2 linked regions of the Alligator mississippiensis genome follow. The protein of the gene in region 1 purifies or fractionates together with the protein of each later gene. This does not show direct contact. Links are inferred from orthologs where the notes say so. Each region holds a gene or a part of one and is shown on either strand. Other genes may lie near its edges.

The links.
Region 2: the proteins of DNAJA2 (region 1) and NUDC purify together in Homo sapiens (affinity purification with mass spectrometry; 4 studies listed by BioGRID and IntAct, with this or other methods). This does not show direct contact. The link is inferred for Alligator mississippiensis from reciprocal best matches to the Homo sapiens genes DNAJA2 and NUDC.

Annotation. Positions count from the first base shown.
Region 1 is NC_081833.1:55,127,354-55,137,364, forward strand, and holds the start of DNAJA2 (dnaJ homolog subfamily A member 2), read left to right. Parts: upstream 1-5,981; 5' UTR 5,982-6,074; coding exon 6,075-6,152; intron 6,153-6,523; exon of another isoform or gene 6,524-7,002; coding exon of another isoform or gene 7,003-7,023; intron 7,024-9,266; coding exon 9,267-9,326; intron 9,327-10,011. UniProt on the Homo sapiens protein: Co-chaperone of Hsc70. Stimulates ATP hydrolysis and the folding of unfolded proteins mediated by HSPA1A/B (in vitro).
Region 2 is NC_081829.1:2,773,831-2,783,100, forward strand, and holds the start of NUDC (nuclear migration protein nudC), read right to left. Parts: upstream 4,033-9,270; 5' UTR 3,989-4,032; coding exon 3,893-3,988; intron 2,130-3,892; coding exon 2,052-2,129; intron 1-2,051. Other genes in the region: NR0B2 (nuclear receptor subfamily 0 group B member 2), read left to right, coding at 6,510-7,029, 7,766-8,046. UniProt on the Homo sapiens protein: Plays a role in neurogenesis and neuronal migration. Necessary for correct formation of mitotic spindles and chromosome separation during mitosis. Necessary for cytokinesis and cell proliferation.

The sequences.
Region 1 (10,011 bases):
ACCTTGTCTCCTCTGTCTGTCACTAATTGCTCCTTCTTGTTCAGTAGGGGTCCTATGCTGCCCTGCGCCTTCCTTTTATTTCCTACATACCTAAAAAAAGACTTTTTGTTGTCTTTGTGTTGCCAGCCACAGCTGTGTAGTAGCTTTGGCTTATTTAACTGCCTCCCTGCAAGTGCGGGCCAACTAGGTATACTCCTCCTTAGTAGCTTCCCCCTGCTTCCACCGCCTATATGCCTTCTTTTTTGCCCTGAGACTCCCCTGGATTTCCCTGTTTAGCCAAGAAAGTTTTTTGGCTCCTTTCCCCCTTTTCCCTCGTAGTGAGATAGTCTCCCTCTGTGCCCAAAGGATCGCTTCCTTTAGAAACAACTACCCTTCCTGGACTCCCATCTTGTCAATACTCTTATCCTGCAGTGCAACATTGACTAGACTCCTGAGCACACTGAAGTTAGCCTTCCTGAAGTCAAGCACTTCCACCCAACTAGTTATCTTACTCACCCTATGCCATATAGTGAATTTGATTGATTAGTGCAATGACACTACAAAATTAGTTGAAAAAATGTTAAACTTCTAATTTGGTAGCATTCTATATCCACTTTGCACTGAGACTACATGAGATGCAAAGCAAGGCTCAACAGGACCATTAATGTACTGCCATTTTATAAAGTGCATCAACATTTTGTTTTCTAGAGCAGGGGCTCCCGAACTGTGGTACACATGCTCCTGGGGGTATGCAAGACATCTCTGCGGGATATGCGGGAGAAATTGCGTAATGGTGGATTTAATTTTCATAATAATAGGCATTTAAGATGTTAAAATATAAAATGTATTCTGGTAGGGGTATGCAGGCAACTGGTAAATCTGGAAACGGGTACGCAATATGAAAGAGTTTGGGAACCTTTGTTCTAGAGCATTTCAACTAGCAACACCCAGTTGTGAATGGTTCTGGGGCCACATAATCAGTCTGTATTAAACTAAGTCAGGGGTGTTAAGTGTGTTTGCCCCTCCTCCCCTGAGCAGATTTGGCCAACAAACCATGTTTGACATCCTTGCCCTAACTGAAGTCAGCAAATATGCTCTGTTTTTAGACGACAACCCCCCCCCCCCCCCCCCCCCCCCCATCATTTGACTGCATGTGTTGCATTAGGGTAGTTACATTATTTCTGGCTCCAGGAAAGGTATATCCAATGCGCGCACACAACCAATTTAAACATGTTCAGTAAGAAGTCACAGGTGATAACTTGAAAGGCCACAATCTGTGAGTTATTAGCAGGAATCCTGTTTTTTCTGATTTAAAAATATCCCCAATTTTTTATTTAAAAAAAGTAACCCCAACTCCACATTTTTCCATGATTTAAATGAAACACCACATTTATATATGTGTGTGTGTGCGCGCGTATGTATGTAGATATAAACCAAAAATTGGGGATTTTTTTTTTAAATCAGAGAAAACCAGGATTCCTGGTTATTAGTATCATTGTGAACTGGTAAGCTCATGTAGACATCAGTTCAACCTGACTCACGTTTTCATGTGACTATTACAGAATGTTTAAAATATTTTTCCTTCGACAACTGATGCAGTTGACTTCATGTGTTTATATTTTCTTGAACAGTAAAACAACACTGAGGAGTTTTACTTTCTGGTTCTCCAACAGTAACACAGTACCATTGTGTTTGGATTTTCAGCATTGCAGCAGAATGTTTCAACTTGAAAAATAAATAAATCTTATTCTTAGGCAAAGTGTCAAAGAAGTTTATAAAACCATTTTAAGTCTTCATGGGTTTAGTATGCAACTTGGCACTTTTTTCTCTATTTTGCAAGATAGAAAAAAAGGTATGAAGCTTTAAGACCTCTCAACCAAAATTCACTCAAGTCATAGGCAACTGGTAGGAAGTGCACATGCCCCCCTTACGGAGTGGTGCCCCCTCTGACAGCTGACACTGATACTGTCGGCTGATACTTCTGTGGGTGCCCCCACCAGATTCAGGAGGCACCAGTTACTCATGACTCAAGTGAAATGGTTTGGGTTTGTAAAGAATGCAGGATTCAGTTAGTACTACTGTAATCCTACCTGTATCCCATACTTAAAAGCAAGCACGCATATAAATGTCTGAAGAAGCAGGATCTATGAAACTTTAGCTATATCTAGGAACTGCCTATCAACTTTTTCGCATGCTCATCCTGCTACCCCTCAAAGATTCTCTAAGAAGCTGAATGACTCTTACTGTCTGTCACAGTCCATGATTACAGAAAGTTCCTTCAATTAAACTGCTGAGACTCAGTAATAAGATATATTTTCTGAGAATGATTCATATTGACCACCTCATCTATGCTTAATTATTCACACAGCGCTCTCTAAACTCACAAAGTTCTGTCCTGGCTTGCAGTGAGATTAATATAAAATCTGTAAAGAGGATTGTCTGGGCACAGGCCAAGGCTGGATCAACATATAAGCATAACGCCTTGTGAGGACAAGCAACTTGCCACAGCCTGAGTCACAGAGTGAGACCAGAATCTCAACTTTCACTTCAGAAAATTCTCTAAGCCTCATGGATAAAAAGAAAACATGAACCGAGTGTAACTGATGCCAGCTTGCATCTGCAGACAGCCTGAAACAAGTTGAAGATTATACCATTTATTTTAAGTCTGAAGCCTGCTACCCAGTTTGGTAATGCTAAAGACCATCTAAACTTGCCTGTATTTTAAACACAGTTGTAGCAATATTCCTCAATTATGTGATAAAGCTGATTATGCTATTGTTTTACTTTAATATGTTATTTGTAATATATCAACTTTTTGGAGGAAGGATGGAGAGACTGGTTGGGGACCTAGGGAGTGACAGAATGAATGGGGAGAGTCGCAGACCAGAACACATACAATTGCACTTGCAAGGTGTAAATGTTTTGTTTTAATTTATCACATGGTTTACATTTTGCCCAAATAACTCTCAGACAAATGCTGGAAACAATACCCAGCAGAAATAAATTATTCCTTACCATTCCTTAGGATCTCACTTTTGCTTATTTTACTCCAGTTTGGTGAAGCACTTCTATTCCTGCAAACTTCCAATTCTCTAACCCCATTTCAAAACCTCTCTCTCTCTCTCAGTTGCATTCTTTTCCCCACCCCTTACTCCATGTATTTGCCTTAGAATAATGTGGTTGTTTGGTATTTGGTTATGCACAGCACAGAAGGCTTGCACTGAGGTAGAAAAGGGCCTCTTGGGAAAGGAAGGAAGGAAGAGAGGCTCCAAACATATTATGGGTTAATAGGCTGGGTCACACCCATATGCACACAAAGGGTTCCGGGTATGTTCTGTTTTGGTCTTACCCTACCCCCAAAGAGCTGCCTCTTTCTCTCTTAAGTCAGGTGTTTTAAAGCTGCTGTCTTAGTTGAAGAGCAACTGAAACACACTCCAAGTGCAGGCATTAGCACCCTAGGTGGTGAACCTGGCTCTCATTATGCTTGTGACACTAACATTTTGCCGAAGTAACAGAACACATAGCCTACATGACATAAGCCTGCCAACACATCACCCCAGGAAGGTAGGGAAACCACCAGCCAATTGCACTACCCAAGGCCCAGGAAAAAGCTGTGGAAAGGGGCAAGACATCACCCAATAGACTCCTTCATGGAAGAACCTCCAAATCATACCAATTCAATTCTGCAGATGCTTCCTCAGCCCGATGAAGGGTATTTGTGCCCAAAAGCTTGCTAAGAAGACTGTTTCCTACTATTTGAGTTGGTCTAATAAAAGATATTGGATGAGCCTTGTCTGCCTATGTCCTTAGACCAACACGGCTACAACCTATACCCCTGAACCAATTCAAATGAACACTCCCTAGGGCAACCAAATCCCCTACTTTAGAGCAATGAATCAGTCCCCAGTACCTCTTCATAATGCTCTTTTCCAGGCCAAATGCAGGTAGCCTGCTGCTCAGCCTTCTCTCCTTAGATCTTGGTCTCTCTACACTTCCTAGCTAGCAATGTGTCACTGACAGTATCCTCAACTCAGGCCTGATGTTGGTGGGAGCCTAAAAGATTCTGAACCCTTCCCCCAGGTAGCTCAGACAGGAGCATTTATGCTGCTGGGTAATTCTTCACTCTTCTCTGCAAGCCCTGGAGACCTTCCTGCTTGGGACGAAGATGCTGGGAGAATCCACTCTGTACTGGGCCCAGCAAGCAAGCTACATGCAGTCCTCAGACTTACCACACAATTGGTTCCTGAAAACTATGTTTTAAGTTGAAATGTAACTTGGAACCAATTTTCTCATAAGAAACATAAATGGGAGATTGGTTCCTGAAACAAGGCCCGATAGCCTATTTTCACTAAAAAATACCCCAGAATTTTGTACTCGATCAATTATAGATGAGTAATATAGCTACATTAATGTATTTATATTGTAAATAGCCATCATATTGGTTTGGTAGGAATTCTTTGAGGTGACTTTGCTGGACTTTTTGAAAAGCTCTTGGTTGGACTTTTTGAAGGGTTCTTGGCTGAAGTCTTCTCAGGAGTCTTGGCTGCAGGTTTTTCTGGAATCTTGTCTGCTTTCTTAAAGAAAGTGTCCAAGGCAGTTTGGACAGATGTTCTCCAGGGAGATGAGCGACGCAGTGAACTTGTTTGCTGGCGTGGAGTCGCATGGAATCAAGCATTGTAAAGTCAAACAATGCTTGGTGTCAACAGGGTGTCAATTTATAAACGTTGTATGTGCGAAACGTTGTAATTCGAAATGCTGTAAGTTGAGGACTGCCTGTACTTCCTTTTTCCAGAGCATGTTAGAACATGGCAGGTTAAAAGAAACACTCCGGTGGTGCTGCCAAACTACTAGCAAGAGACAGCTAAGAACCCCCCTGAGGAGAGGAGCCTGGGGTTGGAAAATTTAGAAAGACCAGCCTTGCACAACCAATTTTTTTGTTTTTTCCTTTTAAGATTGCTCTTAATGGGGCCAGGCCTCCATGTGAGATTAATTGCTCTTTACTCAGGTGGGCCAGTGCAATCCTGACATCGTGCATTGTGCTTGCACAAGGTGCTGAAACAAATCCAAGCTTTCTTTTACTCTGGAGAAACTTAAGTCTGGTTTCAAATGTCATGGTGAAGACCCCATCCCAGTGCTTCACAGGCAGCAGGGGCCAGTTAGCCAGCCAAAAAAAACCCTCCCTGGAGTAAAGCCAGGCCGTGTTGCCAGGTTATTCTCACGTCAGACACTAGCTTGCTCTTCACTTGCTGAAACCCAAGCTGGACCCTTCCCTTTTAAAATATGTGGTTGGCACAAAGGAGAAACAACCACAGCGGCACCGAAGATAAAGAAAGGTCTGACACTGTGTGAGATGCATGTCTTTAGCCAGGGGGAAACTTTTCCAGAAATTCTGCTCTGTGATTCAGCGTTGTTTTATGTCGGCAGCTGCGAGGGCCAGACAGAAACCTGAGACCATCTCAAAAGGAACCAAATCACTACTGTGGTCGAGGTGATATCTTTTATTAGACCATCAGGATTTTTACAAAAACTAGTTGGTCTAATAAAAGGGATCGCCTCTACCACGAGTCCTGATCGCTTTTGCCTCTACACCCATATGGCTACAGCCTGGATACCTGACACATCAAACAGAACCAGGCCCCTGGCGCCCTTGAGAAAACCCCGAGGGGATCAGAAAAGCTACGAAATGGCCAGGCCTTGTCCTGCAGAAGAAGGGGAAGAGCAAGACACAGGCACTGAAACGTGAAACACGAAAGGGCTGCAAAGGAAGGCCAGAAAGGGCCCCACACACACACACACACACACACACACACACACACACGCTGGAAAAGCCCCTTTGAGGCGCAGCGACAGGCCCAGGCACTGCGCTGCGCTGCGCGACCCCTCCCCCACCGCCCGCCCGGCTCGGCTCGGCTCGGCTCAGGGCCTCGGAAGGGGGCGGGGCCTGGAGAGCGAGGCCTAGAGGGCGGGGCGCGCGGCGGGAGGTTCCGGCGTCGCGGCGCGGTGACGCGTGCGTCGGCGGGTGACGTCGCGGCGGCTTGCGTCCGATCCCGGTGCTGCCCTCGCCGCCCCTCGGCCTGACCCGGCTCGTGCCCGCGATGGCGAACGTGGCCGACACGAAGCTCTACGACATCCTGGGCGTCCCGCCCGGCGCCTCCGACAACGAGCTGAAGAAGGTAGCGCGGGGGCCTGGAGGGGGAGGGCGCCGCGGCCCAGGAGGCCCGGGCAGGCGGCGAGGCCGCGGGCGCGCGGGGCAGGCCGGGAAGGCCGCGCCGGTTGGGCCCGGCCGCGGGGGGAGGGGAGGCGCGGCGCGGCGCGGAGGCTTCGGGCCTCGGTGCGGGGGCGGCCACCGTGACTGTGCGCTTGGCCGGCGGCGCCAGGCCCGGCCGGTGCTGGGGCCTGTCCTGGTGCCGCCCCCGCCCCGTGCCGCTGGTGGGGCCGGGAACAAAGAGATCGCGGGGAGCCCGGCGGCCCCCTCCAGCACCCGCGGTGCCGGGCCCGGAGCCGGCTCAGCTCATGGCCGCTGCTTGCTCGTGGCGCTGGGCCCTGGCGGCTGCGCCGGTTCAGGACTTTGGATCCCGCCATGGGGGGGGGTGAGGGTCAGCAGAAGTTGGTCGTCGGTCAGAACCGGGAGCGACAGGCAGGGAAAGGGCGGCCGGAGGCCCCTCCCCGCCGTGGAGGTGCAGCTCTTCTCTGACCAGCGACCCGGGCTGGCTCCGAGCCTGGCTCAGCTTTTGCCAGAACTGGGGATGAAGTTGCCAGCTCCCCGCACCTGTTTGCCGAGGGGTCACTCAGATTCGGGGCTGCGTGTGGACCTTAGAAACGTGCCTGCAAGTTTGTTTTTAAATGCAGTTGTGCCTTCGCGTGCGTGCCGGTCTGTTCTGGTGGCAGCTTTGTACAGCAGCACGGAGACGAGTGAAAGAAAATGGACTCGCTGCGGATTTATCATGATGCTGATGGGACGACGCAAACTCCGAATATTGCGCTGATCCAGCTTATTCACTCTTATCTCCTAATAAAATACTAATGCAGGCACTGGTTCTAGAAGTGAGAAATGGCACTAAAGTAACTCTGTTTATTTAAATGAAGTTGGGGGGGAGGGAAAAACCCTTGTGCTTAACACCACAGTAAGTGTGTCCGTTCTGGGGGGGTTGCTAGTATACCTGTTAACTTCCTTGTGTAACGTCCCCAAGGCTGCGGGATTCTGCCATTGCTGGCTCCTGTGGTGGATTCTGAAATTCTTGTTCTATAAATCCATCTCTCTGTTTTGTTTTGCCCTTTTTGCATGCATAAATCCCCAATAGTGTAGCAAACTAATAAAAATGGAACTATAGAGTAACAGGGCAACTCTCTACACAAAATGGAGGAAGATGGAAGCTCTAAGGTTTTTCTTTCTTTTCTTAAATAAAAATGAATACAATTGAGAGGTAGTAGTCTAGAGAAACAGTTTAATCTAAATGCTCTAAACTCTAGAGACTTGAATGCAGTCCTGTAAAATGGGAAATCGGTAGTTGACCCCATAAGATATATAGCACACACTTGAGCATAGCAGCTCTTAGAATGATGATGGGAAGTACCATTCAAGTTGATAAATGATTTACTGTTATATTCAACAGTATATAAACCCCCTTGAAATGCCTTGCTTTTTCTTGCCTTTTGGGGGGATGAGGGGGGAGTTTAGAATATGCTGAAAAAGTCAAGGATGCCTGAATTTCTGAGCCTTGTCTCTACCCTTCAGGGATTTAACTTGTAGTTTATGGTGAAGGGCTTTTTCAAGTAACTGTAATAATTGATTGAAAACTTTCTTAACAAAACTTTACCTCACTCCCCTAAAATGGTAGTGGTAGGGCATGCAAAGTGATGACTAAATAGTATAGAGAAAATAATGCCACTCGGAACGTGATTCAAAAGGAAAGAAGCCATTTGAAAATTGTCTTATTTTTTACATGACTTCCTCCTGCTACTGCTGTTTCCAGTCAGGAATTGATCAAGATGGGAAGGCGCACATACTTCCATACATTTAATATACACTTAATTCAGAGTGAGGCTAAATCTTCTGTGGGTGTTATGTGGTGAGGGAGGGAGGAAAAAACTGAAGATGGTGTTGATTGGGAAGCTGAAGCAGCCATTTTGTAAACATTGATGGACTCTTAAAGACAGTGACAAATTGGGACATAACTTGCATACATGATCGTTTAATAAGTGATAAACTGTGAATCTGTAACCTCTAACTAATGATGCTTATGAGCTGTTCATATTCAGAAATAATTACATGGTTGCGTGTCAGTACTGAATATTGTTGACAGAGTTTAATTTCAGTGTAATATGTAAACTAGAATCAACAAGGATGGTGATTTTAAATTCTAATGCATAGCAGTCTACTTAATTCGCGGCAAGACAAAGCAGTTTTCGTGGCTTGGTTGCCGCACAAAGGCCATTTTGTGGGCATTTCCCAGCAGCCCCGCCCCTCGCAGCTGATTGACAGAGAGGCATATTTACTTTGTGTATGTCAGTAGCAGACAGTAACTCTCAGTCACTGATTTATGTCTGCAGTGATTGTTGCGTTGTCTTTGTATTGGGGAAGGCATTGGGACATTCTAAAACAGTGTGTATATATAAATAATACAGTGGGGCTTTTTAGGTTGATTTCATGGGAAATTGTGCCAATGCAGAATTTCCTGCTGTTTTTGAACAGTGCTGTTTTTTGTGGATTCCACAAAAACCAAGAATTAGGTAGACCCCTAATTAATGATGGGAGCCAATTTTAAACCATAGTTAATCCTGCATTCAGTAAAATTAAATCATCAAACTCTCATATATAACTTTGGTTGTATAAACAGGCTAAACTTCTGTTTGTTTTAATCCACCGTTTCTCAAAGTGGGTCACAAGAATATTTGAAAGGGTCATGAACAAACTTTTAAAAATGGAGAAAAACACGGGAACCATGGCTTTTCCCTTGCAATCTGGCAAGGTTCCAGCGAATGAGGAGGGGCCCAAGCATCTACCATGTCCCACACGCACCCACTCCTGCCCCATATACTGGAGGGCAGGGGAGCAGTGGGTCAGGAGTGAGGGGCACTGGGTCAGGACTGGCCATAGATGTTTACAAATGGGTTCCAGTACAAAAAAGTTTGAGAAGCACTGTCAGTACCGGTGGGAAGTGTTTACCTACTTCCAGGAAGCAATATTTAAATCTGTCTTTGAAGACTAGAGATTTGTTGACCTAAATAAGCTTGAAATGAGAAATGGTCACACTAATAGCTTGTGTCATTTTTCCACCCCCAATTAGGCCTACAGAAAACTGGCCAAGGAATATCATCCTGACAAGAATCCAAATGCGGGGGACAAAGTAAGATAATGATGTTTAAAACTAAGTTGTTGTTTTTTTGGTTGTTTTTTTTTTTTTATGCTTCTAGATGTGATGGAAGTACAAGGGTTTCTGAGACCTGCTACTTTAGAAGCTTTATAGATTTTTTTTTTTTTTTACAGTCTGTTCCGTAGAGATACCTGTTTTAGTTGTGACAAAATGGAGACAAAGGCGGTAAGACAAGATGATAGTGAAGCAAAGTTACTGTACAGTATGAAAAGGGCCTTTGCTCACTGCTTGTTGAGGTGACATCAGCTGGTAATACTTTGAGGCACTACTTGGAGGTGGGAGAGATTTGAAGGGTGGTGGTAAGATATGCAAAATGGTTGCCTTTCCAGGATTATATCATTTCATTGAAGATGTTAAGTGTGGGGATTTTGTAGACAATTCAGCCAGTGTAATCAAAGTAAAATAATTTTAGCTTTGATAGATGTATTGAAATAAATTTAAGTGTGATGTTCAAAGCGAACACATAGTAAGTCTGCATGTTTTAGAACTCGGAATACAAGCTCTGAAATGGCGTGGTGACCAAATGTTTTGGAATATGTGTCCACACCCTTGCTCAGAGCTAAACTCTGAATTGTGTACTAGCACCGTCTTGGTAAAGGTATTGGAAAAAGATCTATCTATGCATGTAAAAGTAACATGGCACTTTCTCGCTGTTCCT
Region 2 (9,270 bases), on another chromosome or scaffold:
ACCCTAACTCATCAGGGGACTCATAAGACTTTGATAACTGCCAGACTTGTCAAGTCCTTTGAGAACTCCAGATGGAAGAAGTCATGCAAGTGAAACATGCTTTCATGAACTGGATGCAGACACGAGCCAGGCACATTAAGGAAGGCTTTGTCAGCCTGAACTTTCCCCACGTGCTAGAGAATGTGTGTTCAGTCCATTCTGTAAATCCCCCTGCCAAAATTTCTAGGAGAGGCAGCTGAAAGATGAATGATATCATTGAGGAATAAATTCATATATAATCTTCTCTCCAAGCAATCTCAAGTCTCTTGTATCGCAAGGGCTCAGGTACAGCTGTGAAAGGCAGAACATCAAAGTCTACGATGTAAAGGGCTGTAGCGTTCAGAGGCAGAGCTAAGTAAACAGGCAAGAGGCCAACCTGGAGCAATAACCCAGCTATTGATAATACCACAGGTACCGTGCAAGACAGCACGTAGTGAAACTCAGCCTTCCTACAGGCATCAAGGTAATGCTTCCACAGGAAGGATACTATCCAGGGTCAGGAGCCAGATGGGAGGGAAAAGAAGATCTCTTATGCCAAGGAGTAAGATATTAATTCAAAGAAGTTCCAAGGACATGATCAGCCCCTTTCAGGATGAACTATCCCAGAGCAGCTTACAGAAATCAAACCCCCAGCTAGTTACAGCACTGACTGCAGACTGCAACGATGAAGAAGAGATTATGAAGCCTTTGCCTACAAACATGGGAGAACAAGCAAGTCTCCAAAGAGCCATAAAAATACCAGGCAGGTCCATCATGTTGGGAGGAGAATGGAAGGGGATAGGAGTCCTTCCACAATCTTTCCCCAGTCTCAAAAGGTGGTTCAGCCTGGTGGTTTCCCTCCTGCTAGATTCAATTAAATGTTTCAGGCCCAAGGGGCTGTGTTAAGAGTTCCAAAGGGGAAGGGGGAAGTGGGAGAGAATAAATGGCCTCTTCAAGCTCTAGCTGGGGGACTGTGTTGACAGAGACACAATCAGCACGGGCTTGTATTCAGTGTCCTTCGTTCAGAGGCTTGCAAAGCACTTTACAAAAACCAGTATTCTAGTCCAGTTCCAGAGGGGGCACTGGGGCAGGGAGCCATCCCCTCCTATGTAGCGCACAGCCGAAGCCAGGCATCCTGACAGTCAGTCCCTGCCTCTAGCCAATGCCTCAAAGCTCCTCTTGCTTATGCTCTGGAGTGCCAATCGGCAGAAGCTCTATAAATACAGTGCTAATCATCGTCACACATTGATTCTACACATATATGCCTGTCCCTGTGAGATGGGGAAGATTTGTTCCTAAAAAAACTCTTGCAGCTCTTTTGCAGATTTCACTCATTTTCACCCTAGCTCTGTGTTGGGGTTTCCCCATCTCCCTCCCCTTGCAGGTTAGGCAGCAGGTATATTCTATGCAGCACTGGCAATTGTAAGCTTTCCCTCTATATATGACATGGCAATGTTTCCTGAGCTATGTTCTGAAGCCACCCACTGGTGGGGTTGTAAAGCATCAAGTGTGTATCACACGCTGCTGGCTTTTCCTTATTTTGACCACCTCCGGTGCCCCCAACACATTTGGATTGTATCAGCCCTGCACTCAGAGGCACAGGGGCAGCTGCATGGGCAGGGAGACGGACTTTGTGCTTTTCTGAGATGAATAAACAAGGTAACTTAGGGTTATTGATCCCGCGGTGTCTGTCAACGTTAAGTCAGTGTGTCTGGCAGGCTTGCTTTTCAAACAACCCTTTGGCCACAGCGTGACAAAAACCTTCACCATTGATATTATTCGACAAGCAAACAAGCTCAGCCATGGACAAGGGCAGCTCACTCCTACCTTGTTTCACTGGTATATTTCTGCAGCATCGCAAACATTGGGCACAGTTTGAAGATACCACACGGCAACAGGAAGAAAGCACTTTGTGGCACACAGGTCAGATGTCTGCCAGAGGCAGGAAGCATCTCGACGTGAACAGCTGGGCCCGAGCACATAAAAATGACACATAAGGGTCTGTGAGGGGGAAGGATTAGTTGTTTTTTTACCTTCTCTGCCACTCCGTCTTCTCCACCTGTGAAGAAATCCGTTTTCCGTCTCAGGAAACTGAAGAACGTGTTCACAAGCTGGAAAAAGAAAAACACAAGAAGACAGGTAACGTCAAGAGACCTGAATTAAAGAGTCTGAGCTGCAAGAGAGCCTACAAGGAAAGGGAGCAAATCTAGATCTTAGCAGTATTGCGATGAGCAAGTCTTCACTCAGCAGGTAGCCGAGAAGACAACTTCTCGCTTCCTTGTTCTTACTTCCAAGCAGCTGATCTAGCAGAATCTTTACATGGTCGCTCCAACGATTTGGTGAAGCATTTTTGGCCTTTTCCTCTAATTAGGTTTTCACAGGGAGCCCACGGACAGAGAGAAGTAGCAGCTCGAACTGAAGAACGGCATTGCATGCTGGTCCAGATACATGGGACATGAAGACAAAGAACCACTTTTATCAGTTGGCTCTGACGGACTAGATTAGAGGAGACAGCAGAGCACGTGGTGCTCACCAAGATGGTCTCTGCCCACACCTCAGCTGGAAGCAGCGCAATGCTGGTATAAATAGTGTTGCTATTCGTTTCCATAGCCAGTGTGGGCAGACTCATTCCCAAGAACCACAATGACTTAGCCTTCCTATACCTTATCCTCCTAGGTTGCTTGAAGCGCTGTGCACCAGTTGCCACAGCAACTGTTTGATTGGGAGGATCAGCAGCAAAGAAACCCCTTCTATAGGGGCCAGAGACATCGCATTTGTGTTTCAACAGTTTCCTTCCACCATGGCTACAGCCAGAGCATGGCCAGGCTCAGGGACCCGAGTGGCAAACGAGCCACCCGCCACACCGCTACTCACCAGCGAGCTTTTCATCCCTCAGCCTGGACGCTGCCTAAACTGCAGCACGAGGCGAGACCCTCGCCTTTCTTGGATAGCTGTTCAGCCCCCGCACGCCAATGGCGCCATGCTAATAATTAACGTGACAACCCGTTTAAGTGCGAATGCTTTCCCAGCGCAACCGCCGATGCCTCCTTTAAGCGCGGGGAGTTAAACGGAGGAAAACATTTGCAACATTAAGGAATGCACGGACTGCTGGCAAACACCGGGAGGGCCGCAGGCATGGCGCTGTCACGAATGTTCGGTGCTCCTAAAACGACCCCGGAAGACGGGGCCCGAGCTGCTTAAGGCCTCTGGATCTTTATGAAGTGCGGTCTCTTCGTGGACAAATCCCACGGCACTTCGCAAAGGTTGATGCCTTTGTTCCCATTTCACAGACGGGAACGTTTGGGCACCCTTCTTATGTACTTCAGGGGCTTTACTCCAGGGCATCCCAACTTTTTTAGGCTGCGGACCGGCAAGCCACGGACCGGAAGTGACCGGTGTACTGGGGAGCGACAGCCGACCCTTTTTTAGGCTCAATCTAAAAAGAGGATTGGCTGCCGCTCCACGGTACGCCGGTCGCTTCCGGACCTCCAGCGCGGCAGCCGACCCGCCGCGACCTAGCGGTCGGGAGCCTCTGCTTTACTCGCTCCGCCGGAGTCGGTGCTTCGTGCTTCTGAGAGCCCGTGAAAACGACGTGTTTGGCGGCGGCGGCGGGGCTGAGACTGCGTCACTCGACGCCTGTAGAAGCAGCTGGCAAAACCAGCAAGTCCCCTCGAGACACGCCGGCGCTCGTCCCACGACGGGCGCGAAGCCGGACTGTCCGCACACGCGCAAGGAGCGGGGGGCTCCCGCTGCAGCAAGGGGAGTCGAGGTTAAGTACGGGCGGAAAGGGGCATCAGGCGCCGAGGCGAGGGGCACGGCCTAGAGGCTGCAGGAGGAAGAGGAAGACCCCCGCCCCCCGGCCGCCCGGCGCTACCTCCCGCACGCCGCCCGGGTGCTGCTGCGCCATGGCCAGGAGCATGCCATCGAAGCGGTCCTCCTGCTCCGCTACCTCCTCCGCGCTCAGCCCCATGGCGACCCGCAACCGCTGCCCGCGACCCCTCGCCCGGAAGCGGAAACGGGCTCCCCCACCAATCAACGCGCCGCATTCCTCCCGCGACCCCTCGTTGATTGGCCGCCGCCGCGCCCAATCCGCAGACGGGGGGGGGAGGAGGGCGGGCGCTTAGCGCGGCACAGGCGCGCGGCGCTGGTTGCTATAGAGACCGGCGCCGTCTCGCGCCTTCCAGAAGGCTCCGCGTGGCCCGTTGGGCGTCGGAGGGCAGGGGTCGCGGCTGGGTTAGGCCTTTAAAGGGATGGTTGAAAGGATTCGTGGGGGAAGGGGGTGACACGAGTGATGGGGTCACAGCCTTGCCTGGAGGTCAGGGGTCACAGAGGGAGAGGTCACCCCTAGCAGCGCAGGGTTGTGGGGAGGGGAAGGACCCCCCCCACCTTCTCCCACACAATTCCTCCCTTGCTCTCCCGCCTGGGCGGCTCCGCAGCGCAAGAAGACGGCGCGGGATAGATCCGGCGGGGTGCGGCGCATTGCGACGCGAACGCCACGGCCCAGAGCAGCTGAAAGCAGTGGGCCGGCAGAAGAGAAGGCTGAAGCGGGATTCGATGGCGGCTTCAACTACCTGAAAGGCGACGCACGGAGAGGATGGAGACGGGCTGCAGGCAGCGGGGCTGGGAGCCACGGACTCAGTCCCGTGTCCCCCCCGTGTTCCATAGATTCATAGATTGCAGAGTCGGAAGGGACCACAGTGGATCATCACGTCCGACCCCTGCCCCTGGCAGGAAAGAGGGCCGAGGGCAGACGACCCTAGCCAGGTGACTATATCCTCCTCGTGAAGATCTCCAAGCTAGGTGATAGCACCACCTCTCTTGGGATCCCGTTCCAGATCCTGGCCACCCTGACTGTGAAAAATGTCTTCCTAATATCTAACCTAAATCCACTCTCAACTAGTTTACACCCCTTATTCCTAGTCACTCCCTGGGGCGCCCTAGTAAACAGCGCTTCCCCTATCCCCTGTTGACCTCTCCTAATAAATTTATAGGCGGCCACAAGGTCTCCCCTCAGCTGTCCCTTGTGAAGGCTGAAGAGATTCAGCTCTCTCGACCTCCCCCGTAGGGTCTTTCCCGAAGGCCACGAATCATGCGAGTGGCCTCCTCTCGATCTCTCCAGATTCCCCGCGTCCCTCCTGAAGTGCGGCGCCCAAAACTGGACACAGCACTGCAACTGCTGCCTGACCAGTGCCACGTAGAGGGGGAGCGTCACCTCCTTTGATCTGTCAGTCATGCACCTGCTAATGCACGACAAGGTGCGACTGGCCTTGTGGATGGCCTCGTTACACTGCCGGCTCACGTTCATCTTGGAGTCGATTACGACTCCAAGATCCCTCTCTGCCTCCGAGCTGCTGAGAAGGACACTCCCCAACCTACAGGTGTGCTGGGGGTTCCTCCTTCCCAGGTGGAGCACCTTACATTTATTTTTATTAAATTGCATCCTATTTCTCTCTGCCCATTGCTCCAACCTGTCCAGGTCAGCCTGAATCTGCTCCCTCCCCTCCGGTGTACTAACTTTGCCCCATAACTTGGTATCATCAGCAAACTTGGAGAGGGTGCTCTCCACGCCCTCATCCAAATCGCTGATGAAGATATTAAATAATACCGGTCTGAGGACCGAACCCTGCGGGACCCCACTGCCCACCTCCCTCCAGGCCGAGAAGGAACCATCCACCACCAAGAGAAGGGAAGGGAGAGGCTCTCTCGAGATGTTGGTTTAATGAAATCTGATTCTCAAACCCCCCCGTGTTTTTCTGACACCAGGTACCCCAGGTCCCAGCCTTGATCCGAGAACCAGATGCCCTCAGTCCGTTGGGTTTCTTTTCGTTATCTGTAACGACAGCAGCCTGCTGTCAACAAGGTTAGACAAACAACCTGCTGATAACATGACTTCCAGGTTGCTCTTTCCAAGGCCAGAGCCTACAGGTTGTTTGCCACCGGGCTCCTGCTCCAGACAAGTGCTGTGTGTGCATGTGCGCGCTCCTTGGCAATGACACCTGTCATACAGTACTGCCTGATTACGCATCGGGGCCTTGGTACCATGGTACAGGCTGGGTTATCGACATTGTTTATCCTGTTTGGACAACCGAGATAAGCCAGCTGCCCAGCCTGCCATTCTGTCCCGTCCTCCTGGCCCTGGCTGGCACTTTCATTGAGAAAACACTTCTTGACGCCACATGAAGAACTCGCTTCCCCAGCCAATCAGGCGAGAGTCAACTTGTTTTTTAATGAATGCTGCTTTGTCAAAGAGAGGTCAAGGGTGGAAGGGGGTGTTCCACTCACCGCCAGCGCCTTATAAATACCACTGAGCGTAGCAGCCAGAGGGTTGAGGCAGCTGAGCTCAGTGGAAGAGGCTGCAGTCGGAGAGCTTTGACGGGCACAGGAGTTCGCGGTTGTGCTCACAGACTCAGCCTGTCAAGTGCACCCAGATCACCTCCTCCTTCAGAGTCAGTGGGATCTGCTTGGTGGGCAGAGCTCTGAGTGCAGGCAGCATGGACGTGGACTATGAGAGATGCCAGTGCCACAGCGAAGAGAACCGGAACGCCATCCTCTATACCCTCCTGAGCCAAAACCTGAACCACAATCATAGCCCATCCCAGCAGCGCTGCCGGTGCCAGAAGCGTCGCACCGTCTGCCTCCAGACACCCCAGGTCACCTGCCAGGCGGCCTCTGATGTCCTGGTGAAAACAGTCAGCTTCATGAAGAACCTGCCCTCCTTCCAGCTGCTGCCCCGGGAGGACCAGCTCCTCCTGCTGGACAGTTGCTGGGCTCCTCTCTTCATTCTGGGGTTGGTTCAAGAGATGGTGACATTCGACGTGATGGAGACCCCGGCCCCCAGCATGCTCAAGAACATTCTCCTCAATGGCCAGAGCAAGAGGCAGGAGCTTGAGAGGACACAACCCACCCTAGCCGGGGTGCAGCGGCTGCAGTGCTGCCTGAACACGTTCTGGAGCCTGGACCTGAGCCCTAAGGAGTATGCCTACCTGAAAGGAGCCATTCTTTTCAACCCTGGTGAGTGCTCTCAGCAGGGCAGAGGGTACTACACAGAGAATCTGGTCTGGGCTGCTTGAAAGCACGCGTGTACGTGTGTGTGTGTGTGTGCGCGCACGCACGCACATACACACGTGAGCAATGGGGAGGATTATCTTAATGTCATTAATCCATAATGTTAACATTTCACACTTTTCATTCCAGTAGCTCAAAAGTAGGAAGAGTAGCCCCATTTTACAGACAGGTAGACCGAGGCCCAGACTGTTGTAGAGGCTAATTTCAGAGGTGCTAAGCATCCTTAATTCCCACTGACTTCTGGAAATCAGTCCCTTGCCATATGCTTTGGGGAAATATTTTGAATAAGACCGTAGACAGTAAAGATCCCAGGGCACAATTTGGAAAGCTGGAGTTGTCCCTGGTTTCACCGGTCAGTATTTCTCTTCCATGGTTATGCTGCACGGTAGTAAAGAGCTCCTTCCACCCCAGAAGTGGCTGCATCTCAGTGGTGCTGCCTTGCATGGTTTATGAAGTACTTTAGGGTCTCTGTGCTATAGATGGTTAAGGTGTGTGTGTTTCTGTCTGTTCACATGCGTGTGCTCAGTAGAAAGAAATTAAGCTTGATTGCAGCAGCAGGAATATGCCAAAATATTCCAGAGAGGAAGTCAAGTGCCAGTGAGTGGGATTGAGATTGGTGCTTAGGCTGGGAAGCAGAGCCCGTAATTCACATTTCAATTGTTCCTCCTTTCTCTCTCCCTAGACGTCCCAGGTTTAAGGGCCTCCTTGTACATAGAGAGCCTCCAGCGGGAAGCACAGAGAGCGCTGCAGGAAGTTGTAGGACCGCTCCACCCAGAGGACCAGGGCCGCTTTGCCCGCATCTTGCTGATGGCCTCCACCCTGAAGTCCATCTCTCCTGCCCTCATCACAGACCTCTTCTTCCGCCCCATCATCGGCAACGCAGACATTGTTGAGCTGATCACAGAAATGCTGTATGAAATAACTGCCAAGTGGTCAGCTCTTTCATCACGCGTGGCATGCTGATTCTGCAGTTGCTTTCACAGGTGTCTCCTGCTCACCGAGCTGAGTGTCACAGGATGGTAAAGTTAATCTGAGAATGGGACTTAGTGGAAAAAAATTGGACATTACTGAGAGCTGGCCTGGCATGTGTCTTCCACTCAGACTCTGATCACAGATTCCTCAGCTAAGGCATAAAATCACTTCCTAACTTAACTGTTATTCAGCAGATGTTTACATCGGGCCTTGCTCCTGGTACGACAGCAAACTCAGACTGCCAAGCTGTTTCTAAAAGTGCGTGTGCATGGGAAGATAATGGTTCTGCTTCACTCTCCTGTAACTTGAAAACAGTTTGGCCAAAGCCCGTCAAACTTGCCAGACAAAATCATTCTCTGAGCTGATACTTTCCATGGCAAATATTCAGGTCAAAGTGCATCAGTGGGAGAAAGGAGGGAATTGAAATTAAGGCTTCTAACCAGAGGAGGAGGTGACAGGAAGTTACAGCTTTAAAGTGTCATAGAGCATTGCCATCACACAAAAAGAACGTGGTTCCTAGATGTGCTTCCCACCCCCAGCACCTCGTCACCTCAGTGGGAGCTGGGAGCGCCACAGGAAATGACCCTGCAGTACCGAACGGGTCAGATCAGAGCACAAGCCAGACTCCGTGAGTCAGGGGACATCCTGGTCTCACTGAAGTGAATGGGACTTGATCAGAACCGGGCTTCCCCTCCTCCATTCCAGGTGCTGACGGAGAGAGAGAAAACAGGCTTTGGACTGAGCTCAGATGTCAGTATTTGTGAGCGAGTGGTCTTCTGTGATTTGTACATAAGTGGCAGTAAATTATTATTTTTTTAATAAAATGATTTATGTTTTGGAACATGGTGGTGGCTCTGTTTCGAGGCACACATTTGCTCTGTTGTGTTTGATGCGAGATTCCAACAACCTGCCACTCAACAGATGGCTCAAAAGAAATCCAAAGGGGACGGGGCACAGTCATCCTCAGAGACCCCCGCCCAATGCAATTTGTTTTGTCATTTTAAAGACAGCGCAGTACAGAATGAATCTTGCATCCAAACACTGCTGGGGAAGGATGTCTGATTAACAGCCTTGCAAACTAAAGTCCAGTTATATGGACAAGTACAGCACAGGTGCAAAATCATAACCTTTCCCTACCGTGCGCCCCGTCATTGTCTCATTACCCTCAAAAGGCACTTGGCACAAACACTTCATGCTCACTGAGGGGGTGGATTA